Oryzias latipes: one gene and its partners. The main gene of each other region encodes a partner of the protein of the gene in region 6 in a complex. Links are inferred from orthologs where the notes say so. Each region holds a gene or a part of one and is shown on either strand. Other genes may lie near its edges.

Region 1 (4,280 bases), on a different chromosome or scaffold from region 6:
GTAGCTTACAGTTAACAATAAAGTAAGAAAGGCTGAATTAATACTTTAAAAAAAAAAACAACTCCCAGGAAGGATCCGGGTCGTGTCTTTCACACCAAAGAGCCGACTTTAAGGTTGTTTCACTTGCTACTGACACATCAGTACACGAGTCTCTGCTCTGCTGCTCACCTGCTGCTCCTCAGGGATAACAAGACTCCTTGCAGGATCTCTTTTTGTCTTTTTCATCTTTGAGCCAGTTTGGAAAGCAAAGCGACTGCAGCAATGAGGGGATGTCTGTACTTTGACCGATCCCCCATGCTGCTATGTGCCAGTAATTCCGTCTTTTTTTATAATTAGTCTCTGTTTCATTTCAATTAACAGAGAAAAAGTCAAAGCCTGCAAAATCTAAGTAACAAAGTAACAAGGGTTTCTATAGTCCAGTAACTGTAATTCATTACAGAATATGAGCTGTAATTTGTTATGTTCTACCGTTACTGACAAAAGTAATTAAATTACAGTAATTTGTTACTTTGTAATCCATTACCCCAACACTGAGCAACATACAGAAGTGAGGATATTTATCAGTTTAAACAAACACATTTCTGTCTTTAATGAAGAAAGGTCAGGAAAAAAAAAAAAAAAAAACTAAATGAGTAAAATAGGTGAATCTGATCTTTAATGTGATACATAATATGGAAAAACATGAAAATTGGAGTAATATTTTTGGCTTTTCAGAGCTTTTTGTTCCTTCTTTTCATTGGGCAGTCATAAAAACAGGTTTTCATGGAATATTCGTGTTGAGGCCTTGCAGGGCTTCAGATTATTGAAGGATTTCAAGCCTCCAACCAAACGAACTTCCAGTTAAGGAATGTAGTTTCTGGCTTCACTTTTCAGGGAAGTTAAAGAACAAATGTTAAAGAAAAGATGAAGAGACTTACAGTTCAGGTAGTACGGATTTGCCAAACACTGCACAAACTCCAGCTCGGCCTGGAAGCGGTGCCGGGCCTGCTCATCTGGACCAGAAAAGACAGCATCACACAAAAGTAAAAAACACTGCGAATTCTGAAACAATAAGCAGTTTGGGCCTGACGACCTGCTGCAGTTATTATTATTATTATTTTTTTGCTGCTCTGATATTTCCATGATTCGTGTGTTATGCTAACACTGTAAATGAGTTTTATTTCCCCAAACACATTTCCTGTGTTAGACCAGTGGACTGGGTGATAAGTTAGAAACTATATAAGCGCGACGCAAGAACTGGTTTATTGTCAGACTACATTTTCACAAACGAGCCTCTGAGGTTCGGCTACTAAATACAACCAAACAAAAAGATGCGACCGACAAAAACGTCTGACTAAAGTAAATGTGAGTTCAACCAGTACACAATTTTACTAGCAGTGTCCTGAAAACCTTAGAGGGTCAGTCACCGCACAGTGAGTGCGGGAACAACTGTCACCAGAAATCTATGTTTTGAGTAGAACTCCTGGTTCCATGTTGGGGTGGAATCTCAGTCATTCAGGTCATGATAAAATGAAAAGTTCCAAAAGTATTCAACTGGACAAAGTTTCTGGTTTGAAGACGTTTCGCCTCTCACCCGAGCAGTTTCTTCAGTTCTGTCCAACTGGTGCTGAGCTAGAGATTTACATCCTCCTCGCTGGAGTCCTTTGATGGCCAACCAAACCCCCCAGTGACTGATTCGTTGACCCCTGTGTCCCGGTTGTGTCTATCTCTTCCTTTTCCTCACTGACGGTGCTTTCTGCCCAGAGAAACCTTTAAGAGGGCCTGACGCTTGTTTGTGTAATATTCAATAGAATGAGGGTTTTTATTTAGCGTTGTAGTAATGTGCGTTAGCAGCTGAAGGTGGGTAAAATGCCTGACTGAGGCAAACATCAAGCGTCACAGACAGATGTGGAGCAGTGGACGTCGTTTTTCAAAATAAAACCTTCATAAACACCTGATTAACAGAAAAAAGGAAGAGTGGTACCGATATGGAGCTGGAGACCACTGTCCCCGGTGAATCATTGAGTTAATGGGGTAGTTAAGGTAGTATGTCTGATAAAATCTCACATTTACAAAGTTATTCAAACCTGATAGAGCTTTATTAAACCCACGTGAACTAGTGTGTTGTCCTTATGTCGGTCTTTGGTTTATTTATTGGTTAAAGAGAGTTAGCAGTTTGCTAAAATTAGCCCAACGTTTTTGAAATTATGAATTATATGCAGTCTGAAGATCTTACTTATTCCTGCTCAAGCGACCTGTACTAGTATGTCGGGGTTTACTTTGGCTTCTTTATGAAAAATGTGTCAAGATGGACGAGCTTCATATTCTATCTTTTTAAACTTTCTCATAAATGTCATATTACTTATTTTACGGACTACAGCGAAAAAATCCCCGCGTTAATCGCCGACATTATTAATTTATTATTTACGAAAAATTTTCGGCTTGTTGTACGCACGAACTCAGGTTAATAAAAGCATCAACACAGCTTTAAGTCTTTTACAAAAGTTAGAAATACACAGTTTCTCAAATGTCAAATAAAAACACAAGAATAATGAAGACATTCATCATCCTCCCATATAGTTAGACTTAGAAGAACCAAAGCTAACAAAAATAGGTTTAGCTACAAACCTGTTTCCATGGTATCGACCCGAACAGTAACTATTTACTGTCCACAAACTGAGCAGGGCTTCCAGAAAGAGCAGAAAATCCTTATATGTGTTTAAATGTTTAACAAATCTTCAGTCCAGCTGCTTTTGTTTAGCTTTCATCAGCCGTAAGTGAACTACTCGGGCAAAACCACTTCCGACTTTGCGACACCTGCTATCTACTTTACGGCTTTTTTTCTTTTGCAACAAAACTTTGTTGTTCAGCACACGGACAACAAAAACTGAGACAGAAAATACCCAACACAAATAAAAAATACTTGTTAATCATACTTTTGGTTATATAGTGTTTGAAGTCTGAAGAAATAAACATTAAATGTCATCATGAAACAGAAATAATTTGAACAGTGAATAAAAAACGTCCATGTTTATTTGAGTCTTTGTTATTTATTGGAAAAACACAGAAATTAAATGATCAAAAAGCAGTAAACGGAAAATGTTTTGTTATTTTTCATCCAGTCTGATGTTAATGTTTTTCTCTGAACACTGAAAAATATGAGAATATGCAAAAACTTTAGGTAATCAAAATGTTTCACACTTGATTCATAGGATTTCTGATCTTGTAGTTCAGCATCTGGCCGTATGATTGCTGTATGAATGATTGTGGCGCTCCATGTATGTATGTATGATTGTGGCCCATGTGTGATTGTGGCGCTCCACAATCTTACTAGGCTGTGCTTTTCCTGCCAGCATCTTACACCCTGCAGTTATGTGCTGGATTGTTTCAGGCGCCTCTTTGCACAGCCTACACCTTGGGTCTTGTCTGGTGTGGTAGATCTGAGCCTCCATTGCTCTGGTGTTCAGGGTTTGTTCCTGGGCTGCCAGGATGAGTGCTTCAGTGCTGTCCTGTAGGCCAGCCCTTTCTAGCCATTGGTAGCACTTCTTGATATCAGCAGCTTCAGTTATGGTCCGGTTTGTCCTCCCATGAGGATTTGTCCTCTAGCACTGCATCCCTCTCCGTTGCCTGAGACATTCACTGAACACACTGTCAGTTGGGGCCTTGAGTTTGATGTATTTGTGTGCAGCAGGAAGAAAGAAATAAGAAAGTGCACTCGCTGTAGTTAAACACAGTGACGTATGCTTCAGAGGACGTTCAATTGGCTGTTCTGCATGTCAATCAAGTGACATCTTTCCTGCCGAGGATGATGATTCACTGACAGATTTTTAAAAAATATATTTTGATATTTATTTCTTATTTTTGATGACCTGCAATCTACAGTTCCATCCTTCGTGATCGACATAATGAGCACCCCTGACCTAAAGGATTTGAATGTGGACCATAAAATAACACTCTTTACATGTTTGAGTGATAAAGTTTTATTATCAACAAGTAAAAGGAGTTAGCAACAGGTTTGTAAAAAACAGGAAGATACATATGTACACAACACACACATACGTGCATACACAAACACACACACACACACACACACACACACACAAACAGGCACACCTTTGTTACTTATATTGGTTTATATAAAAACTAAAAACCTTTGTAGAGATCAGCAAAAACCTCAATAGATCTGCCGTTTTCAGATTCAAACCACTGCAACACAAGACGTCTAAAAAACCTGCTTCTCCACGTTTCTCTTAGGTAACACAGAGAGACTCTGACCCAAACTTCATTTACTGAATGTTAAA
Region 2 (4,280 bases), on a different chromosome or scaffold from region 6:
ATTAACACTCCACAGTCTCTGGTAAGGTCTCACCTGAACTCTGTTCTTCGTCTGCAGAGACATTTCTCGAGCTCATCGTGTGGCTGCAAGTCTGGAGGCGGGGACCTGCTTCATCAACAATTACAACATCAGCCCAGTGGAGGTGCCATTTGGAGGGTATAAGATGTCAGGTGGGGTCTTGTAAAAAAAACAAAAAAAAACAAGAGGCTTCTTGAGGAAAAATGGTGAAACCGAGTTCTTGATCTGTGCAGGCTTTGGCAGAGAGAACGGCCAGGTGACCATCGAGTACTACTCCCAGCTGAAGACGGTGGTGGTGGAAACAGGCGATGTGGAAAACTACTTCTAGAGTTTCCGTTTTACACTCATTTCAGAGCAATAAACGAAACTGTGCAGACCTGTTGAATGTGGATGTCCTATTTGAACTTTTCTGGAGTGTCTTTTATTAACTCTTAAGTGTGTATGAACAGCTGGCATGATTCTTCAGGCTAATTTATTTTGTCACGTTGGACATTTGCTCATGCAAACATTATCTGAACTCTGATCCTGAAGTAAAAATAGCAGTTGCATATAGAGTTTACACTGCTAGAAACATTGATCCATCTTCTAAACCACCTTTATTCATGTATATAAAAAAAAAGTATGCTGGGTGTCCTAGAGCCCACCCAGCTACTGAAAGGCAAAGGTGGGATACACCCTGGGCAGTTCACCAGACCACTGCTGGGTCAAATGGTGTTAGGATTCAGTCTAAGAGACACTTTTGAGGTCTTAGGTCAGAGAGCTCTTCTCCAAGGTTGCACCAAACAATCAGGTCTCTGTTTTTATAAGGCTTGTATTTTAGTCTGATGCCTGGACCGGTGAATGTTAATAATAAAGCCGAACTAAATAGATAATGTTGATGACTCATAAACTTGAAAAGAACTGATTTTGTAATGGTTGGCCAAGATTCTGGGACATTTGGAGCTTCCACTAAAGATAACCAGAACAATATACAGCTTGTTACAGAAGACCCATGATCACACACAGAAACAAAAACACTAAACATATCATTTGTTTTTAATAAATACCAGGAAGACTAAATTGTTTCTGCTCTGAGCTTTTATCTCTGTCTCCCTGTAAGCTGCACCTTCTCTGTGCTTCCTTCACAACTGTCTGCAGGACTCATCCTCTGATTCTGCTCTCAGCTCTTCAATTTCACTTTGGTTGCTGCAATTTCTCATTTTTTTTTAGTCAACACCATCGTTGATTCTCTATTTTAAAAAAGTCAGTATAGACTGGATTAATGACTCTGACGGGACAGTTCTAGTACATTATTTTGGCCTGGAACAGAGAATTTGGACGAAAGAAAACAATATTAAAGGGTGCAAAACCCTCAGAAACAAATATTTATTGAACAATAAATAAAAAAAGAAAAGAAAAAAACAAGAGGATGGGTGGTATGGGTACCTGCTGTAGCCACAAGGGAGCACAAACACACCGTCAGATTTGACCAGAGAAGAAGAAGCATCTCTTTTTTTTGGAAAGCGCAAAGCGGAAGTACAACCTAGAAGACTTCCGGGTCGCTGACAGATCAACAATGCAAGTGAGTCTGAAATAATTTCACTCGGTTGTCTGTGATTCTTCTGACCTACTGTGGACGATACTTTGGACTGATGCTAGCTCGGGCGCTGTGTAATCTGTCCGGGCCTCTCTGCTCGTCCTTTTTGTGTTTCAGCAGCGGGAGGAGAAGCAGCTGGAGACGGCGGTGGAGTCTCTCATCTCCCGGGTGGCTCACGTTAAAAACGCCCTGAGCAGCTTCATCTACAAGCTGGAGAATGAGTACGAACGTCTGACATGGTGGGTCCTCCTGCCCTTATGACGTAACGTATCCCCCCTCCTTTGATTATGATAAATAAAAGCCTGGAAACATGCGAAGTTAACAAGTGAGTGCATATCGTGCGTGTGCATGTGTGCGCGAGCGCACTTAGACTATAAATCTTTGTTGATCCCACAAAAGGGGAAATTACCTTGTTGTTGCCATAGCTCCAATAAAACATCAGATATATATTAATAACACTAAAAATACACTTAAACAATTAACAGCAATCATTTTTGTCCAATGTCTATAAGGCATTGCAGAGTCTAATAGCTGACGGGAAGAAAGATCTGGGAAAGTGCTCCTTCCTGCAACAAGGTGTAAAGGAGCTGCTCAGTACACCCATACAAAGGATGATGATGATGATGAAGAAGAGGAGTGTCCATGATGGAGTTCAGTTTCTGTAACATTTTACTCTCACCCACCACAGTTACCGATTCTAGGAGACATCCCAGAACGTAGCCGGATCTCCGCTCCAGTTTGTTGATCCTCTTCTTGTTCCTGTTTGTGCATTCACACCTCCAGCAGCTCAAACCATAGAAGAGGGCAGACGCAACAATGCCATCATTAAAAAGAGTCCTGAAAACTCAGGAGAACCCCAGTCTCCTCAGTATCTCCTGCGATCTGGGATTGCTTCTCCAGCGGCATGTTGTTGTTGCCAAGCAACAACAGCTGACCGTGTAGACGATGTACCCACAGACCGCTTCAGACCCAGAAAGTGGGGGATAAATAGTCCAAAGGACTAGCAGGCACGCCACTGCACTTGTGTAAAAAACAACAATTCTGTCAAAAAACAGAATAATAATTAGAGAAAAAAAAAAACGAAACTAAAGAAAAACAAGCAAGCCAACACAGATCTATGGTAACTGCCAGCTTGTTGTAGCATTGGTGTCTGTATTTGCGTGCGTGTATTTGTACGTGTGCATGCGTCTTTTAGAAAGTGTTTGTGTCTCCATGTTTACCTGCAAAAGTTTTCTCACCCCCCTCTCAAATCTTTCCTGTCCCTCAGGCCATCTGTTTTGGACAACTTTGCTCTCCTCTCGGGTCAGCTGAACACCATCAACAAGCTGCTGAGGAACGAGAAGACCCCAGCTTTCCGGAGTCAGGTCATCATCCCGCTGCTCCTGTCTCCTGACCGGGATGAGGATTTAGCTGTGAGTGTCGCCGCAACATTTGCAGGCTGTCCTGTGTGGTGAAAGACCTCTAACTATCCTGTCCACCCCCACACCCCCCTCAGAAACTCACAGAGCAACGCGTCCCGGTGTTCAGTCACGAGATTGTGCCAGATCACTTGAGGACCAAGCCTGACCCCGAGGTGGAAGAGCAGGAGAAGCAGCTGAGTGCAGAGGCGGTCAGGATTGGTCCTGAGTTGGCTCAGGTCAGGAGGCGCATGGATGTTTGTTATCTGTTGTCTGTGCTCAGAAGGTGTTTAGTGTTTGTCTGTGCTAATCCACAGAAGCATATCCAGGCTCTGAACAAGCTGTGTTCCAACCTTCTGGAGAAGCTGAACAACCCTCGAGAGGACAGAGAGGGAGATGCTTCTGGTGGGTCGCTCGTTTGTGTAAATCCCTTGTTGTCCTTATTGTAGAAAGAGCTGAGTGTGTTTATCTTCCAGCAGTGCGGCAGAACAAAGCGTCCTTCAACCCCACAGACACCAGTGCCTTGGTAGCAGCTGTGGCTTTTGGGAAGGGACTCTCCAAGTGTAGACCTCCTGGCCCTGTGGCCCCTGGCCACCCAGGGCAGGGGCCCATGATGAGCGGAGGTCCAACGTTACAGCAGGTCACTATTGGTGGCGGGTCAAACCAGCAAGCAGGTATGGGAGGGCCTGGGGCCCCCCAGCAGCAAGGTCAGCCAGGTAGGAAACTGTACTGGTAAAATGTATTAAGTTTTTTGTATTGGAGACACATTTTTATTTCTTTATTTTTGTCCAGGAAAAATGCCAAGCAGCATCAAGACAAACATCAAGTCTGCATCGGGTTCCATTCACCCTTACAACCGGTGATCTCCCCCGCCCGCCTCTTTACTGCTCAGATGCAGGAACATCAGTCTGTTACTGGGTCCACCTTCACGTCCCCCTTTGAAGCTCTCTATACAGCCACTAGGTGGCAGCATGGGATCCTTTATGGCTAAATCTTAACAGCACAATGACATGTTTTCAATAAAACCCAGAAAAGCAGCTTGGTTTGTGTGGCCTTTATTATACAAGTGTCTTTCTCTTGTTTCTGCACTGAAACGACGTGAAAAAACCTGAGCTCCGCTCTTCTGAGTCTGTGTTGCAGCGCTGAGCCTGATGGGGGTGGACGTTGTGTCACAACTTTTAAGGGAGAACGCGAGGAACTATTGCTGTTGACAATGGTGGTGGTGGGGGTTTTATTCCTGTCTGAGTGTTGGCCCTCTGTCTGCTCTGATCCTGTCTGGCTGTATGACC
Region 3 (4,269 bases), on a different chromosome or scaffold from region 6:
GACTGATACTGATCTACTCTGAGTCTTATCTAAATGGGCATCCTTGGGGGACAGGATGAGATCTTTCTCATTTCCTGGATCTCAACTCTTGGTAATCATCTTTGTGTGCCTAAAGGCTGTCGGTGAATTTGAGAGAAAAAAGAATAAGAAAAACAGAAAAGCCTAACTAGAACTCACTTTTTAGTCTTTTAGAGGAACACCAACCAAATTTGGTCTCTGTTTTCTACTTTTTCTTTTTTACTTCTATTTGAAGTTTGTTGGAATAAATTGACTAAAGCTAAGAATTTTAATATAGTCGTCTTTTGTGTGCTTTCACTTGTTCAAAAATAAACAATACTGTTAATATTAATAACATTATTTATAGTAAATGTGAAATACTTTGTATTATAAATGTTTATTATGTTGTAGTTCTGCAGCTTTAACTGAGAAAGTAACTTGAAAGTGAAACAGACGTTATGTAATGAACCACAATGATGATACAATAATATTGTAAGATGGGGGATCACTTTTGAATAACAATAACAAGTAACATAATAAAGGTTGGAAGTGAGAAAAGCCAGAATCAGCACATGTCCTAATCTCTGAAATGAAGCCGTGAGAAAAGACACAGAGCTGCAGCCACAGTCCCTCTGATCACCCCTGTGGCAGATGGAGAGCTGTCACCACGCCTCCTCAACAGAGCCCTCAGTGTAAGGTAAAGGAGAAAAGATCATTCTCTCCAGACACACCTCCACACAAACACGCAACTTCATCAGTCCTCTAACACTTGTCCACCTAATATGCACTGATCATCTCTTTCGGTCTTACATAACTCTTGTCCCAGGACACAGACCTCACTCTAGTCAGTACATCATCTCCAGTAACAAGCAGAAAGAAGCTCTTTGTTGGCCCTGACTAATACAAGATTGGTCTGATGGAGATTGATGCAGAGAAAGGGTTCATTTTATTTTTGCAAAACAAATTTTTGTGCACACAAAAAAAAACAAAAATCGAACAAAGAACAAAAGCTCAGAAGCTTTTTTTTATTTTAGATTTTTAAATTAAAAGTGCACTGTGGGTTCCATAAATGTAAATTATTACTACATCATATTGTTATTTACTTATTCCTGTCTTCTCACTGTAAACGACTGGCCCGGGACCAGAGACGCTAATTTAAAATGACAATAAAGATTCCTGATTCCTTATTATTCTAATTTAATCATTGTGTTCATTTTGAAAATATATTTTTCATTATTCTTGCTATTGGGTAGTGATTTTCCAACTTTTTAAAAAAGAAAGAAAAAAGCTGAAATAAGCTTTTTTTTTTTTACTGCAAACTACATTTTAGAGTCCCATTCAATTTCGGATCTACTTCATAAGTTCTGTGGTTAACAGCGACATCTTGTGGTAGTAGACAGATTCTGCAGTCGAAGGTTGAGGCTTAAAAGCGAAAAACATCATTATCCAATCATCGAAAAGAATACTGGTGGAGTGTCGGGAGTAGCCAATGAGCGGCGGTGTTTTTCACAACAGCAATGGGGGTATCCTGCATTGTGGAGCTGTGAAACTAAAAAACAACCACATCTTGCGCTTTAACAAAACGAGAGCAGGTAGATATGAATTAAGTCAATAATGAAACTTTGAGAGGTATGTTCTGGCCTTTTCCGGGGACGATTCTGAGTTTGTTCGCGAAACAAGAGACGTTTAGTTTTTTTCTGTTAGCTAATATTGAGAAGGTATGCTAACAGCGAATCTAACAGCTGCATTGACTTGACCCAGTGTTTATATGTTAAAACGTGTGGCAATTTTGCTATTTTTTTGACATAAGTGAGTTAGCTATTCTCTAACAGATACGTGTGTTCGCTCCTTTCCAGCATGAAGGTGGTTAATTTGAAGCAGGCTATCCTGCAGGCGTGGAAAGAAAGGTGGACAGACTACCAATGGGCTGTCAACATCAAGAAAAACTTTCCAAAGGGAGCAACATGGGACTACCTTAACCTCGCAGGTTGTTGATTGTGATAAACAACGTCGGCGTTTCATCCTATAACATGTATGCATTTAATTTTCATTATTTTCTTTGTGTTTTCCAGAAGCTTTGATGGAGCAGGCAATGATTGGTCCATCCCCTAACCCACTCATCTTATCCTACCTTAAATATGCTATAAGTTCACAGGTTGGAAAGGAACTTTTATTTTGAAAACTGAACACACACATATATATACACATAAATGTGTATATACATAAATGTGTGTATATATATATATTTTTAAATAATGACTGTTAATGTTTCACTTTTCTAGATGGTGTCCTATGCTAGTGTGCTCACAGCCATCAGCAAGGTGTGTTTGATCATAAAAAGGACAGAAGATTCGCATTTAAATGGATCTCTGCTGCATTTGTAACCAATGTGTTTTGTTTATAGTTTGACGATTTCTCGCGGGACCTCTGTGTGAAGTCATTGCTGGACATAATAGACATGTTCTGCTGTCGCCTAAGGTCTGAATACTTCTGAGTAAACACCACTATTCTCTCCTTGTGACTTTCTCTTGTACATTTTTGTTATTTTATTTATTTATTTTTTGGACAGCAAATTTGTCAGGGTTTTAAATCTTCAATCTGCCTCACTTTAACTTGGAATTTTCAACAATTTTTATTGATATGTTTTTTTTTTAATTAAATCTTAACTGATTTACTTGTGTGCCAAGCCTTGTCTTATTGTTATTTCCCCAATACTTCACTTGCATATTGTATTTTATCTTATATTTGTACTATAGCTTTAATTGTTAATACTGTACATTGTTGTCTTCTCACTCAGCTGCCATGGCAAAGCAGAGGAATGCATTGGGTTGTGTCGGGCTTTGCTTGGGGTGGTGGTCTGGCTGCTGCAGGCCTGTGCGTGGTACTGCGAGAACCTGAGAGAGCTCGGACCGGTACCCAGCATAGAGGCTATTCTCAGAACATGTCAGGAGAGGCTTCATACCCTGATGAAAAGCACCAAGAACAGAGCTCTGGTTCATATCGCCCGATTAGAAGATCAAGGTTTGGGAATAAAATATTGAAAGACAATATTGAAATATGAATGTTATGGAAGAGAATGTAGGCATTTGTGCACACAAAGGTTATGGTCTTTGTTTGCATGTTCACCATTTGTAAGGTTTGATGTGAAATTCCTCTTCCAAAGGGTCCTGGAACAATGTGGAGCAAGCAGTGATTAAAGTTACGGAAGGTCTTGGAAATGTACCAAACCAAACATTAAGGACTTCACTGGAAGAAAGTTTGTTTTTAGTAAAAAGGTGAAGGTTCCTCAGCCACTAAGCTCTTACTCAAAAGTGTTTTAAAACATTAAAAAAAGTTAATTTTTCTTGGGATGACTCTTGACTCTCCCCAGTATTCCCAGCATGCTCTCTGTGCAGTGTGAGCTTCCAGTGCGTGCCTCCTTCCCATCAGTTCATGCCTTCATCATGCTGGAGGCAACCATGAATTTAATCGGAGAGATCCAGCCTTTGGTGGAGCAGTTAATGATGATCAAGAGAATGCAGGTGAGCTTGAAATTCATGACAAAATATTTCTATAATTTCTGTGATCTTCAGCCCTAAGTCAGAAATAGTCATATTCTTTTTGCAAATATTTTGCAGGTGAATTACCGGTAGTTTGAACATTGCAATTATGACTATGTAAAATATGTTAATTTGTAAAACTGTATTAAGAATTTACACATTTTTGCTCCTTCATGTTGACATAATCAGACCCTCTGAGCCTGAAGAGAACCATTTTTTCTTAATTTACTGTGCAATTACATTAAATTACATTCATATTTAGCTTTTTTAGCTTTGCTTTATACTGAAGTTTTTTATTTGTAATGAATAATTTACCTGCAAATGAAAGTGTCATCTCTCTATCTATCTAACTATCTATCTATCTATCTATCTATCTATCTATCTATCTATCTATCTATCTATCTATCTATCTATCTATCTCTTTATCTCTCTATCTATGACATAACAGAAAGAAGGTTCATGGTTAAATCATGTACGCTGAGCAAAACAATTATGTAACAAACATATTTGGGGTAAAAGTATTTTAAGCCATTTTTCTTCTAATTTTACCTCACAGTAGCATATTGAGAAAATTTCTCTTTGCAAATTAAAATAATTTGATTACATGAAAATTTAATTTAACCGTTGTTTCACAGTAATGGAACTTGTGTACAAAATGTTAAAAAATATTTATTTGCAACAACACATATCCATGAAAGATTTGCAATAAACTTTACATTAATGACATAATAAA
Region 4 (3,500 bases), on a different chromosome or scaffold from region 6:
AAAAAACGGTTCTAGTGAGGGAGCCGATAATCCTTTATGAACTAGGTCTGGTGTTAGATAACGGAACCAACACATTTGATCAATCTACTGACTCCAGATCTGAGTTTCCAGAGCTCCTTGACCATATACCCCATCAGTACGAGCACCGAGGAACATGGGAAAGCCCAAATCAGCTTTTTGCAGCAGAACTTTGAAAGCTACTGGCAAATGCAGGAAGTTAGAAACCTCACTATTCCTTTTTCTCTTCCAAAGATATCAGATAAACATTCATCAGATATGCAAAGCTCAAATATCCGTATTGAGACCAGAGTAAGAAGCAGATTGATTCTGCCCAACGTGGATTTTCCTCTAATCCTAAGCAGACACATTTGATTTTTGCTCCATTTCTATGTTTATTATAATAAAAGCAGTTAAAACCATCAGACTGTAACAACATTTGTTAACCAACCACGCATGAAAAGCTTGCGTAATTACATGCCGGATAACACCAAAGTGTTTGCACCACAAAAGATCTCCTGGGATGAGAGGATGGGGTTTTAGCAGCTTCACCAAAGCTGTGAGTTAAACACCACCCGTCTGTTTGACAGCCAGCAGAGACAACACAAAGATAGTCAACAAGACAGTAAACAACAACAACCCAACTTTACTTTCTCTATAACAATATTACAGGAGTTGGCACCATTGACTGTTAATGAGAATTGGACCGAGAACAAAATTAAGTCAATTCAGGCGCCTTTTTTTCACAATATGGACGCCGCAATGTTGGAACCAGATGATGAGAGTATTGGTCGGAGTCAACGTTTCTATGGCAACCTGTCTTGCCAATCAGGGGTGAGCTTGCTGGAAACCGCAACCACTAATGGCGGGTTACCTGACACCTGTCAATCTAGCGTTTCAGACGCGAGACCACCTACTTCTATTGAGGCATCTGATTGGTCAGTTTATAATTTGAATAAGCTGCACTAAAGAAACATTCCATGAAATGAAACAATAAGATTAGAAAGAACATGTTAAAAAAAAGCAAGAAAGGTTGTTCTAACAAACAGAATGACTGAGTAACAGCTGTTTATTTCTCTGTAGACGTTTCCAGGGTTTTAGCTTCCTGTTTATAACATGAGGGGGAGGAGTCAACTCTCACATACAGTCAATGGTTTGCACAAGAGGACACAGATTTATTATGACGATGGTGCAGCTGCTCATCCAAGTTTAGATCCAACTAAGTCCAATTTATCACTTTACAAAACAAAACAACTAACTTATAGATGTTCTGTTCAGTTCTGCATGCATCTTTAAAGCATCTTCTGGCTACTTAAGTTAGAATTCACTTTTCAGACGCATGACGTATGTAAGCAGGTGTGGGTTTTTTTTTTTTTTTGGGGGGGGGGGGAAGCAGCAGCAGCAGTGACAGCATCAGCAGCAGCTCTGACATGGGGAAAGCCTTCCCGACGACAAGCAAGCACCAGACTACATCCACACATGCACTGCAGCAGGACCTGAAATGTCAACAGCAGGGCTAGCAGTCAGAAATACTTCATGTCAGCTTGTAAGCAGGAACCATGAAGCCCGGAGAGCACACAGCCCAGCTGTGCCGTGATCGATCTCTATCAGCTCGGCTGGCATCAATCAGTCCCAGACTACTGGAGAATTTCTGTCCTGGTGGCTACAACACGGAAACCATTCAGGATCAGCTTTATTTATTTAAAAAAATCCCATTAACGGTGAACACATTTAACAAAATGGGGCAACAAATCTTATCCGAATGATTAACCGGGAACTCCAGTCTTTCAGACATCATTGAATGTTTTAATCAATACACTTACAGATGCTGCCACCATTCAGCAGAATTAAAGGGGTTTGGACACTAATGAGGCTGAACATATGGCAGGAAATTATTTATTTGTACAGCGTTTTAGTAATCGAACGACCTATCATGCCTAATGCTGTGGAAACTTCCCGACAGGTCATCGATCCACCTGCTGTTTCCTGCAATATACACATCAACCTAATTAAAGGCGAGTTTCCATTTAAACAGGTGAGTTATCTCTGTCGCCCTGCTGTGACCATCTCAAGCTCTGTAGCATTTCTCATTTGCTCCACGTTTTATTTGAGATGATTGTTTTTTTTTTTCAGTTTTCAACTTTTTAGCGAAGTAGCGGGGCCAGTAAGTCTCTCAGTGTCCAGTCAGCTGGTTAGTTGGCGAGTCATGTGACCGGGAGGAGGAACAACGACATACCTGGGCAATGTTCAGAGTCTAGCGAGCGCGTGGCAGAGAGACAAACACAACACAACCAACGGAGAGAAACCAAATAAGAGGAAAAAACAAAAAGAGAGAGGTGGGAAAAAGGAGAGAAAGAAAGAAAGAAAGTAGTGACTAAGCAGCCATAGTACGTTGTTTTTTTTTTATTTGTTGAGCACAGTTAGCAGCAGACCAGTCATTCTTTTCTATTAACATTTTTTTTTTATAATCGGTTTTAGTTTATTCCAAACCTTTAAGATACAACAGGGAAGCCCAACAGGGAATTCAGGTGCATTATGGGTCAAGCTCACAGCGTTGTTTAACTGTGTAACAAAGACTACAAGGGAATCCAAGTGGTGATGGGCTTAAGAGGGATAACAAAACAGACAAAAAAACTACACAAAAAAACTGAGGAAGAAAAGTTTTCATAGTCCAAAAATAAACCAAAAGGGGCTGTGAGGTCAAGAAGAAAAAAGGTGGTATAAAACATAGAAAAGTGCCAGAGGAAGCATATAAGGAAGGTTTTCATTCTGTTTTTTACCTGTTTGTTGAGTCCTAACATGTTGCACACCATTTCCCTGGAGTACGGCTGTTCAAGCACATAGCGGAGCAAGACAGTCTGCGGCTCGAACAGGTCCTGCACCCAACGACCAAAGCAGCCATTACCGTTTGTTCCTGTGTGGGCGTGAAGCTGTGCAGATGCGGGGTGGGTTACCTTGTCATAGGGCAGCATGCCCCTGAGGGGGAAACGCAGGGTGGCGGGGTCTAACTTCCAGGAGTTACAGATGGCCCCGCTGTTATTCACAACTGGCAGCAAACTGCATCGTCCTTAAGGGGGGGGGGGGACGACGACACCAAATACAAGTCACTTAGCTTCAATTACGCTTTCAAACATTTAGTTTTACGATTCTGGGACTGATTTCAAATTCCATTAACATTAAACTTCCAATATTTACAAGGATATGTGGAAAAAGTTGAATAATTAAGAAAACAACAATTTATAAAAGAAATTTACACTAAAAAACATTTTAAAATGCCAATATAGTGTTATTTTTATTTTTTTATTAAATAAAAGTTTTCTTTTCTTGGAAAACCCTGCAGGAAACTGATTAAAAAATATATATATTTTAGTGTGAATCTGATGTTTGTCATTTAACCTTCCTAGGGACAGCAGATTACGAACATATATCATTAAAATCTGTACTATATGATGTTTCTTCCATGATTTTAACTGTTTTGTATAAATCCCAGATCTATTTCGATC
Region 5 (3,987 bases), on a different chromosome or scaffold from region 6:
GTCCCTCTGACCATCACCAGGACATTCATACACATTCACACAGCAGTGGAGCTGCACTGGAGGCAAGGAGGGTGAAGTGTCTTGCCCAAGGACACAACGACAGTTGAGTGGTGGGACCAGGGATCAAACCGCCGACTCTTCGACCATTGGACGATCTGCTAAACTGCCTAAGCACCTGCATAAGCACCTGCCGCCCCATCAATTTTTAAATGAAATACCGGTTTTCTTAGCAGCTCATTTTTGTTGCAATATGAAAACCCGCCTGTTTTTGGGGATTGGGAGGGGCTGGTGCTCAGAGAGCAGGTTTTTAGAGGAAAACTCAGAAATGCATTAAAGGATCAAAATACTCTTCTGGGGTCGTTTTTCAAGAGGAATTAACAAATATAATACATAAAAAGCTAAAAATAAAATTGATTTTGCATGATATAGGTCATTTAATGAGAACCAATGTTTTTTTATGCCAAATCTTGAGTCGATACAAAAAGATGGCACAAGAGAGTAATTATTTTTTTTGGCAGAGATGAAGATGCTACCTAAAATGGAAGAAGGAATGAATTCTTTAACGAAAACCTTAAACTAAAATCTTTGAGTGTCAACGCTGAAGTCACACAGCTGCTTGAGTATCTGGATGTTACCAGACACAAAATGATACATCCAAATCCACAGACTGAAAGACAAGTGTGTTTGCTCACCTTTCTTAGCCTTTTCAATGGAAGCAAGTTTCTCCTTGGCCTGGTAAACTGCAGTGGCCTTGAAGGAGAAAAAGTCAGTTTAGATTGACAGAAGCTGCTTTCCAAGTGTGATCTTAGATCTGGATCCAGTGACCCCGTCATTCCTACACCTTTCTGTTTTAGGTGCTGGAAAAGAAGCATCATCAAAATGTCTACAATAGTTGATAAAGAATGACATTATTAGCATTAGCTGAGTCCTCAAAAGGCATGGGATGATCCTAGTGTTGGGCAACAGGGCTTGCAGTTCTCCGCGTGCCCCGTTTCACCTGGCAGACTGAGCCCACTACCCCTCCCCTTTCGTTCTCACACACGCAGCCGCGTGTGACAGGAGACGGGAGCGCGCAGCTACAGGGACAGGAATTCACAGGTTTCAGGTTGTCACAAACTCTGTGATTTTACAGACAATAGGAACCGAATAGAGGCGCAGATTTTTTCCCCAAGCACTGAGCCGCTGTCATCACCGCCCCCACGTTAAATATGAGCACCGGACAATTGTCTGTATAACCTGTGCCTAAAACCGCCACTATAGCGCGCCCCCCCCCCCGGCATCGCATCGGGGGGGCGCACCCCACTATTTGAAAAGCACTGCTTTAAACTGTTACACTTTCAGACAGTGGTGAAATTTGTAATGACCCAGATGACTAAGCAATCTTTAGATTACTTTGAACTATATTATTTAATTGACTTAGCTCTCAACATATATGTTACAAAAAAAATTATTTGTCACAGGTTTTTTTTTTTTTTTTTACAGTTGTAGTAAACTGCCAGATTTACAACACATTGAGTTAATTTTTTACAGCAAAAGATATTTAGCCTTTTAGAGTTTTTATACTTTTACTCAACAAATGCTAAAGCCAGCACAGCCATAGATCTGCTTACAGCAGCCTATATGGAGAATGCATTAGACTGGCTTAATCTGCCTATGTGCTAGAAGAATGAGGATTTCTGCTAATGCACCTGTGAATGTAACTACATCACCTTACAGCAGTATCAGATGAAGCAAAAATACACACAACCTCAACCCACCAGGATGTGCTCTGCCTCCTTCAGCTGTTTCTGCAGCTGCTGGATGTCACTGTCTCTCTTCTCCACTTCCTTTTCCAACAGTTGCATCTCCTGATGAATCTTTCCCTGCTGCTGGGCCACCTCCATCAGCTCTTGGAATTCCTTGTCCCTCTGCACCAGAAGCTCCAGGATCTGAAGACAAAACAGGCTCTCCAATAAACACAAGAAGCAGCACTGATCAGACGTCGACTGTGGCCTTTGCTTCCATGGAGACCAGCATCATTTCAAATGGCTAGAGGTGACAGTGCTGCACAGCTCAAACCCAAAACATGAAATGTTTTTTTTCTTCATTTTTTTTAAACATGGCCATATCCAAATAAATGCTGGAATATCAAGAGAGAGGCCGCCCTGATGGCTGAGGCCAAGCCTGTTGTTTTCATGTTTTTAGATGATCTGCTCCTGATGACAACTATTTAACTAAAGAAATAATCAGAAATACAATTTAAGCATACTTTTTTTTGTAAATGTCTTTTACCATCTTTAAAATGCCACAAGAACATTTTAAAAACACAATTTTCTTTGGAGTGGCTCTTTTGGAGTGTTGAACTAGAATAAAAAAGTTGTGTCCTTCACCTGTGTGTCCTCTCCTGGCTGAGGAACTTTCTGGTTTCTGGCCAGAGCCAGCATCTCGATCAGCTCCCTGAAACAGAAGAGCAGACATGGAGGATTCAGCACGAGGAGCTGTGGAGTACGCGGCACAACGGAGGCCATTTAAAGCCCCCCCGGGGGGGGGGCTTTAATTTCAAAGCGTGAACTAAGCCTCATGAGCCTTTACTCTCCACTGGACTTCTGGACTCGAATCAGGACTGTGCAGACCAAGCCGTAAACCCGCCTACTGTGTCGCTACCTAACTACAACACGGAAAACAAAATATGAGCTGTTTCCTTTACCGCGATAACACCTCCAAATCATCCAACACAGAAAGTAGCCGCTCTTTTGTTGACTTCTCTGCTGCCGCCGCCATACCTGTTTCTAAAGCAGAAAGGATATGACGTAATAAAGACTTTACCTCAAATTGTAAGTTACTGTCACCTAGTGGTGGCAAAAGGAATATCATGCTAAAAAGTACGTTTTGCCTATTCCAAGGAGGAAAATCTTAAATTATTTTTGGAACCACGGATAATAATAATTCATAGAAAAGTAATAATATTTTTTGTAAATTGTTTTACTTAAATTACTAAATAAACAGATGTAAAATGTTGATGAAAACAGCCAAATTTTGCAAAAGTTATTTCAGTCTGTGTTCTAAAGTTTTTGCAAAATGATCTAAACAATGATTACTATTTTAAAAATACTGGACAAGCTGCAGTTATTTTAGTGCATAAAGGATGTAAAATGTCTACAGGGTAAAAAAAAGGAATTATTACAATATTTTAGTAATTAGTAATTTACGTAAACGATTTAAAAGCAACTTTTTCTCTTGAACTAAATATGTAGTACGTTTATTTGCCTATTTATCTCTTTGCATACATTTTTTTAAGAATGTATTTTCCATGATAAAAGTTGTTCTGATACAATACAAAAAGCAAAGACAAAACTAGGCAACATATTGCAACAATGTTTATTAATACTAAGATTACTCTGACTTCCTGATTTTTTATTTATTTTATTATTATTTTGTTATGGGTCAAAGTGTTAATGTTAAATTCAGGATAAAATCTCATTATTTGTGTGCATTGACCCATCCCCTGGGTAGCAGTGCACTATAGCTGTGCTAAGGAACTATTTGGTAGTCTAAGTTTCTCTGACTTTGACTCAGCATGAACACACACATCCAAAGCAAGTTTGTTTTGTTGAGGCTGCCAACAGTGAGATAATAGTGAAGCTTTTTTGCAACCAGGCCACTTCCTGATTGTCAAAATAAGAGGGATTCAAAGATGGAAATGAAATGCATTTTTGCCATTGCATCTGAAAACTGCATACTGACTTCATAGGAATTTGAACCATATATGTTTGTCTTCAAGAATGAACATTTCCCCCAAAATATCCAAGTGAAAGCTTTTAAAAATTTTAGAGGCTTCATTACTGTTTTTTTTTTTTAATTTAAAACGTTTTTTAAAAAAATACTTCTGTTTTTGTGGTTGTGAATAATCTTCAGGTCAGCATATCTGTGTAGTTGTTTCTCATTTGAAACCTAATGTTCACAAAGACAAGGCTGGTCTGAAAATAAGGTGATTCAGAAAGAAGTCAC
Region 6 (4,115 bases):
GTATCCCTAGAAAGTAGCTTTGTGCAGCTAGATGAATTTAAAACTGCAAGTTTTAAACAGGATAAACGTAAAAACCTGTAATTCAAGTCTTAGAATTTCCCATATCTGGACACGCAACCCATTTGTTAGTCTAATAAGTGAAAACAGGGTTAAGGGATGAATGCAACACATGGACAACTTACAAATATATACCCAACAACTGCAACTTTGCTAAAAATCTGTTGCTGTGTTGCAGAATCCTAACTTGCACCTCTAACCTTTCCCTGCACATTCCTTCACTGTAAACCCAACGATACATTTTTCCATCCCTACATTTGTCACTGTAGCCTCTAACCAGGACACTTGGTGTGTCATTAGTGTTTTGTCCCATCCAGGACTCCCCTGCAGGAACCCTGCCAGTGAGTAACTGCTGAGGCACTCGCCAGTCATAAATATTCTCAACAAGCCGGCTGATGGATGGTTTCGTTCACCCTCAGTTTGAAAGGGATGTTCACGATGGCCAATAAAGCCACAGTGAGTGAATGAGAGCTTTTTTTTTCCCCACAAGGGAATAGCCACGAATGAGACGGTGACAGAAATGCAATCGTTGTTTTCTATTGTGTCAAGCTGAGAAGATTTAAGACTGCTTATATTGGGATGCATCTCCCCATGAATGCGTAGAAAGTCACACAAGATGCTTTTAAAAAGTTAATGGGGTAGCTTTAAGTCCCACACACTCCCTGCTTTTTACACAGTGCTGTAAAAAAAGGAAATATTTCCTCACTCTCTTTGTGATCATTCGTTCAAACCTCCTTTAGTAACATGTTTTGTGTACCCTTGCAGTGATTTGTTTAATGTAATAGGGACTGTTATTGCTCCTCAACCTGCACCTCACCTGAAAAGCCCCCAGGACCCCTATGTTGTTGTGGTTCTCAGCAGCCTGAGCCCAGTCCACTGCATGCCTTTCCACTTGACTGCCTGTTGTGGTAAGACAGTTAACTCGCTGACTACAGGATGAAAACTGTGAAAACACTCTGCTCTTTTCTCCTCCGCCCTCAAAAACCAGAGTTGTGCACAAGAAAGCATGACACTGCACTCAGTCAAAAAAAAAAACCAACCCATTTTTTACATATATATTAAATGAAAGTGATATGCTTGATTGCCAAAAGCCATCTTTGTTGTGTGACATGTTTGTTTCCTCAGTGTTCCTGAGGTCATGGAATTCTTTTCACACATAAAACTATTATTAGGAAATATTTCAATAGAAATATATTTGAGAAAGACAGCTTCGTTTTTCCAATTGTTGGCAATAAATGCGTAAAATAATACCATAAGAAGAGTTCCTGCTGGTTAGGTATGTGGAGTGTGCCATCATAACAGCCTTACTGGAGATCTTTTGTTAATGATTGTCAAATAACATCAGCGTTTGGTTCACTTTTGCGCACAGACACACTGAAGCGTGCCTCCCACGGTCTTATGACTTTGTCGATCACAACTGCCTGCCTGCCTGTGTGTGTGTGTGATGAACAGGATTTATCGTACCAGAGAGAAGATGTTGGAGTGGCAGTCCTCAAGGCTTGCCCCGTTAGCCACCCAATTCGCCGATGCAGTCATAATCGTCCGCCTTTGGGGTCGTCAGCGCATGGCATGTCGAAATCCTACATCGGTTGCTAGCACCGAGCAGGGGGTGACGAATCGGTTCCCCTTGTGAGTCTGCCGAAACCAGCAGGCTTAAACCCTCACAAGGAGGTCCCGGATAACAGGCTGTACGGGATGGTCGGTGGAGGAATGGGCGTATTCAGAAAGAAGTGCAGAATGCATCCAATGAAGCCCGAGCTTTCTTGTAGCCTGAACGCAATAAATCCAAGCATGTGCGGGGATCACAACATTACAATCCGGTCCGGGCGATTCCACATCTGATCGCTGACGGAGAGCAGCTCCATTTCTTCAATCCACACACAAAAGACCAGACCCTTTCCAGAGCAGTCTGTCCGCGGATAGTTTCGTAATTAAATCACCATAATCCATCAGAGATCGAGTGCCGTCTTCTGCGCCCAGGAACAGAAAAATGCAAAATTACGCATCAACTTTGTTCTTTAGACGAACCGCATGCGCATGATCGACGGCGCGGAGAAATAATAAACGCGCAGATATCACATGCAGGATATCTGATTCCGTCTGCTCCAACAAGCTGATGCACCACTTGTGATAGTTTTCGAGAATTGCATGCGCTATTTATAGCCTTCTTTCTTGCCACAACCGTTCCTCTCACAATGTAACCCAGCCAGGCTCACACAAAACAGGCGCTGCGAGCACGAACGAAGGTTTTAATCCCTCTGTTGCTTTTCAATCAAACGATCGGGCAGGCTGTAGAATGAGAGAGGGGAGGGGGGGGGGGGGACAAAGTCGAGCTCAGAACCATGAGTCAAACCGCTCAGGCAAGAAAAAAGTAAAACACTCCAACAGCAGGAAAACGGCAGGCGACTGTAGACGGAGGTTAGAGAAAAAAATCCTTCCTTCCTTTCAGTTTTCTATCATTACGAAACGTCCTCGCGCGGCCACAAAAGCCTCAGTCTTGCTCAAAAACATCCAGTACTATTTCTACAAAAAAATGTACACTCGAAGCAGCACACACAAAAAAAGTGGCCCTCCTCGTCTGGCGCCGAATTTATTGACAGGAAAGAATATGTGGCGTGCGTTCGATTCCCCCCAATGAATCCGCTTTCTTCAAGAGAAATGAATTGATTGTTGATTTAAATCCTCAGACATGTGCATGATTTCCTCCACCGCGACTGCTCCTTCCTCATTGTTTATGTCTCGCAGCGGCGTTATTACACTGAGATGGGCGTGCGCAGCCCGAATGTGTCACCCTGTGCGTGCGTGCGTGTGCGCACATGTGTGTGTGTGTGTGTGTGAGAGAGAGAGAGAGAGAGAGAGAGAGAGAGAGAGAGAGAGAGAGAGAGAGAGAGAGAGAGAGAGAGAGAGAGAGAGAGAGAGTGGGCTTGTTTTTACTCGAAGCTCCAAAGCGTCTTGTTTTCTGCCGCAAAACCATCGCGCATTGTGATGTAATGGAGGTCTGAAGCTCAGAATCGCTTTTCCCAGTTGGCCAACTTTGTCATCACGTGACCTGAATCTGGCTTTTACAATTCAGGTTTCTTTGATGCAGCTTTAAGAAAAACAAAAACATGTGAAGTTGTTTTTTTATGGAAAATACCAATAATTAAGGCCTGTGTTGTTACTGCTTATTTTGTTAAGACGATTGATTCTTTTTTTAATACTATTACATTACTATTTACTATTACATAAAGGCCTATTATAAAGGTATACATATATGGGTCCTTCCAGAATTGGAGGACATTTGGGCTTCAAAATTCCTGAAAAGTAAACCTTCACTTTTCTGATCTTCTGCTGCATATCTATCAATAAGTATTAAACTGTCAAATGCTTGAATAGCTAAACTTACTGATCAATTGTACATTTTTTTATTAAATTATATATTTGTTGTTTACAACATTTTCCAAATGTTTTTGCAGGTAACAGGGTCGAAAATGTTATTTTAGCTATCTCTCAGGAGTGCAAGCCAGTTGTTTAACTAGCTGTTATTGATCACCAAGAGGACGAACTTACTCTTGTAAATAAGTAATTCTTCTTCTACCATGTTAAAAAGGTTATGGTAAAGGGTTGCATGTACATTGTGGGACACTTGTTCCTTTGATAACTGTTTTGTTGAAGATTTAAATTTGGACATAGAGGGGGTGGGACAAGGAATAAAATCGCATTTTTTTAGGGGCACTCAATGCTTATTTGGTATTTTTTAAACAATTGTAGGAATTCTTTTCTTGTAGTTTTTGTAGATTTTGTTCCAGTATAAGTCCTTTTTATTAACTGCAGGGTTTTTTTTTTGTTTTTGTTTTTTTTTGTATTTTGTATGCAGAACATTTCATAATGTGATGGTTGCGACATAAAATGCCCTCCAATTCGAAAATGACCCAAATACATATCTTAATATGCTTTAAGAGCGTTAAAATATATACTTCTCATTGACATTGTGAATGTTGGAACACTGTGCAAGTGTTTGCTTTGCAGTAAGTCTTGACTGTGGGTGCAGCATCCATTCACTCCACATGTATGTAACC
Region 7 (2,163 bases), on a different chromosome or scaffold from region 6:
ACCAGGTGCCATTGGTGTCATAACAACCATTTACTCCTGGCCACTGTTGTGTGTGGATCCTCTCCAAGTCCTTGTCCGTCAACTGCCGACTCATGCCTGGTAAATCCCCCTTTGAGCTGTCTGTCTGCAAAACGTGCATTTTCTTGGACTCTTTGGTCTCCTGTTCTTCCCTTTTGAGATATTCTGACATAAAAAAGTGTGCACTGGGGGTCTGAACCCCTGAAGAGGTGAGCAAATTGCTCTGAAGGTTCAAGTAAGACTGAATGATTTCGTTTCTAGACAGCTCTTTCCAGTTAGTCTGGAGGAAAGGGTTAGGGCAAGGACTTGTTGTTGTGGCAGCCGACTGCTGGACAGAACTTTCTGTTCTCTGCCTAAACTCTGCTGGATCAGGAGTAGAGGACACCTCTACTGGAGAAGGATCTTTATGCACCAGAGGTTTGATCTGACCTGTGACTGGGTCAAACGTTAGTCTGCGTTCTTTTAACCGTACTCTCTTAGTTGTGTCTTCCACTTTCTGCCCATCCAGGTTAATAGAGAAGTCTCTGGACTTGTACTTCCTCCTTTTATGCTCAGAGTTGGCTGCTGTCATTCTATCAGTATCATCAGACACCACAAAGCCCGCTTCCAATCTTGATCTCTGGGATTCTGTATTCTGTTGACAGAGGAGAGGGGAGGCTGATGGTGAATCCAGAGTTCCAGATACATCCTGGGGTTCATACAAACTGGTTGTGTGTGACAAAGGCTTATGAGATAAATGGGGCAGCTTCTCAGCAAAAGATGGTTGACCCGGAGAAGCCAAAGCCTGGGAAAAGGATAAGGGAGAGTCTCTGGAAGAAGGACTTGGGATTGGCGTTCCTTTCAGTCCATATGGTACGGAGCGCTTTGGTAAGGAGTCATGCTTCTGGCTCCGCGGACTGGAAGTGACACTGCGAGGACTCTTGCCTTGATTGTAGCTCCCTCCTTCTTCCTCCAGCCTGGCATGTTGCTGGATTACTGCAACTTTAACCAAAGAGGAAGTGCTGGGTAGTTTTTCCACCCCAGGGGAGTTGGGACAAGGCCTGACAGAATTGACTGAAGTTCTGTTCACTCTGTCGTCATCAAGGTGATCTACTCGGCATTTACCAGGAGACACTGTGACATCTTGTTCAAACTGGGTTCTTGGGCTGCCAGCAATCCCATTGGTGGGTAGTGGGGAGACAGAATTATCATATGTAGACGTCTTTGAGAGGTTTTCTGTTAAGTGCAGTCTGCTGTGCTCTACCTTGCGCTTGCTTGATTTTTCAGCTTTAGGTGAATACGTGTTCTGAACATAATTTCTCATCCTAACATCAGCAAATCCTTTCCCCAACACAGAAATCTCTGGAGGAGAGGGGTCGGTTCGGCACAGATGAGAACTGCCATTTGTCGACCCAGTGACACTGGGTGCCACAACTGGCCCAGGTTCAATCAGTTTTTGCCAGTTTTTCAACAGTTTCTTTGCGCGCTTTGCAAGATCTTCATCCTTGGTCTTCTTTCTAATATCATTGATCAGTTTTCCAAGTCGCGTTTCCTGTAAAATATGTGAGAAAATCAGAGAAGAAAGTCAGTATTTTCCTTTCAGTATGGAGTATCTGTTTAGGAATGCACGCTTTACCTCAAGTGCTTCTTTGGTGATAGGATATTTCTCCAGACAGTTAATTACTTCCAACACAATCACCATGTTGCAAATCTGCAAAAAACAGACAGTTGTTTCATGAGTTCAAAGACAATGCTGGCATCCACACTGTTGAACAACATTCAATAAAGATTGACACCAAATGCAGATATAACAAATTGGTATGCTTCTCTTGGGATTCATTACCTCACATTTATACAGTGTGTTCCAAATTATTATGCAATTGTTTTGTATTTAAGAGTCAAAAAGATGAATTTTTCAAATCAAACTCATGGATTATGGTGTGGATCACTGACATCCATCTCAGACACCTGTGATAACCAGGTGAGTTCAGTCAAATTGTCTAAATCAGGGTCGTGGGCAGGATCCGGCTTGCCTTCAATCCGGCCTCTCCATGGAGACCCACATAAGAGACATCTTAATCCACCACTCTGCAGTCTGTGCTCCGACCTGAACCCCTCTAAGAATCCCTGTCAAACAGAAGACAGTCTTCCCTTTCTACATTGGAG

Evidence for each region.
Region 1: med13l (region 6) and med31 share a complex: the UniProt entries of both Homo sapiens proteins name them as parts of the mediator complex. The link is inferred for Oryzias latipes from reciprocal best matches to the Homo sapiens genes MED13L and MED31.
Region 2: med13l (region 6) and med8 share a complex: the UniProt entries of both Homo sapiens proteins name them as parts of the mediator complex. The link is inferred for Oryzias latipes from reciprocal best matches to the Homo sapiens genes MED13L and MED8.
Region 3: med13l (region 6) and med24 share a complex: the UniProt entries of both Homo sapiens proteins name them as parts of the mediator complex. The link is inferred for Oryzias latipes from reciprocal best matches to the Homo sapiens genes MED13L and MED24.
Region 4: med13l (region 6) and med23 share a complex: the UniProt entries of both Homo sapiens proteins name them as parts of the mediator complex. The link is inferred for Oryzias latipes from reciprocal best matches to the Homo sapiens genes MED13L and MED23.
Region 5: med13l (region 6) and med4 share a complex: the UniProt entries of both Homo sapiens proteins name them as parts of the mediator complex. The link is inferred for Oryzias latipes from reciprocal best matches to the Homo sapiens genes MED13L and MED4.
Region 7: med13l (region 6) and mediator of RNA polymerase II transcription subunit 26 share a complex: the UniProt entries of both Homo sapiens proteins name them as parts of the mediator complex. The link is inferred for Oryzias latipes from reciprocal best matches to the Homo sapiens genes MED13L and MED26.

Annotation. Positions count from the first base shown.
Region 1 is NC_019872.2:23,702,500-23,706,779, reverse strand, and holds the start of med31 (mediator of RNA polymerase II transcription subunit 31), read right to left. Parts: upstream 2,801-4,280; 5' UTR 2,618-2,800; coding exon 2,608-2,617; intron 993-2,607; coding exon 918-992; intron 1-917. UniProt on the Homo sapiens protein: Component of the Mediator complex, a coactivator involved in the regulated transcription of nearly all RNA polymerase II-dependent genes.
Region 2 is NC_019862.2:24,740,789-24,745,068, forward strand, and holds med8 (mediator of RNA polymerase II transcription subunit 8), read left to right. Parts: upstream 1-1,480; 5' UTR 1,481-1,573; coding exon 1,574-1,579; intron 1,580-1,711; coding exon 1,712-1,833; intron 1,834-2,861; coding exon 2,862-3,006; intron 3,007-3,089; coding exon 3,090-3,230; intron 3,231-3,308; coding exon 3,309-3,396; intron 3,397-3,467; coding exon 3,468-3,707; intron 3,708-3,783; coding exon 3,784-3,854; 3' UTR 3,855-4,028; downstream 4,029-4,280. UniProt on the Homo sapiens protein: Component of the Mediator complex, a coactivator involved in the regulated transcription of nearly all RNA polymerase II-dependent genes.
Region 3 is NC_019877.2:9,579,827-9,584,095, forward strand, and holds the start of med24 (mediator of RNA polymerase II transcription subunit 24), read left to right. Parts: upstream 1-1,469; 5' UTR 1,470-1,589; intron 1,590-1,595; exon of another isoform or gene 1,596-1,715; intron 1,716-1,853; 5' UTR 1,854-1,854; coding exon 1,855-1,984; intron 1,985-2,069; coding exon 2,070-2,152; intron 2,153-2,279; coding exon 2,280-2,318; intron 2,319-2,401; coding exon 2,402-2,475; intron 2,476-2,794; coding exon 2,795-3,018; intron 3,019-3,160; coding exon 3,161-3,272; intron 3,273-3,367; coding exon 3,368-3,518; intron 3,519-4,269. UniProt on the Homo sapiens protein: Component of the Mediator complex, a coactivator involved in the regulated transcription of nearly all RNA polymerase II-dependent genes.
Region 4 is NC_019882.2:15,915,325-15,918,824, forward strand, and holds part of med23 (mediator of RNA polymerase II transcription subunit 23), read right to left. Parts: intron 3,065-3,500; coding exon 2,952-3,064; intron 2,874-2,951; coding exon 2,778-2,873; intron 2,252-2,777; coding exon 2,234-2,251; intron 1-2,233. UniProt on the Homo sapiens protein: Required for transcriptional activation subsequent to the assembly of the pre-initiation complex. Component of the Mediator complex, a coactivator involved in the regulated transcription of nearly all RNA polymerase II-dependent genes.
Region 5 is NC_019879.2:14,006,626-14,010,612, forward strand, and holds the start of med4 (mediator of RNA polymerase II transcription subunit 4), read right to left. Parts: upstream 2,801-3,987; 5' UTR 2,761-2,800; coding exon 2,687-2,760; intron 2,437-2,686; coding exon 2,370-2,436; intron 1,929-2,369; coding exon 1,758-1,928; intron 751-1,757; coding exon 693-750; intron 1-692. UniProt on the Homo sapiens protein: Component of the Mediator complex, a coactivator involved in the regulated transcription of nearly all RNA polymerase II-dependent genes.
Region 6 is NC_019870.2:12,442,803-12,446,917, reverse strand, and holds the start of med13l (mediator of RNA polymerase II transcription subunit 13-like), read right to left. Parts: upstream 2,801-4,115; 5' UTR 1,594-2,800; coding exon 1,522-1,593; intron 1-1,521. UniProt on the Homo sapiens protein: Component of the Mediator complex, a coactivator involved in the regulated transcription of nearly all RNA polymerase II-dependent genes.
Region 7 is NC_019875.2:6,560,887-6,563,049, reverse strand, and holds part of mediator of RNA polymerase II transcription subunit 26, read right to left. Parts: intron 1,709-2,163; coding exon 1,634-1,708; intron 1,550-1,633; coding exon 1-1,549. UniProt on the Homo sapiens protein: Component of the Mediator complex, a coactivator involved in the regulated transcription of nearly all RNA polymerase II-dependent genes.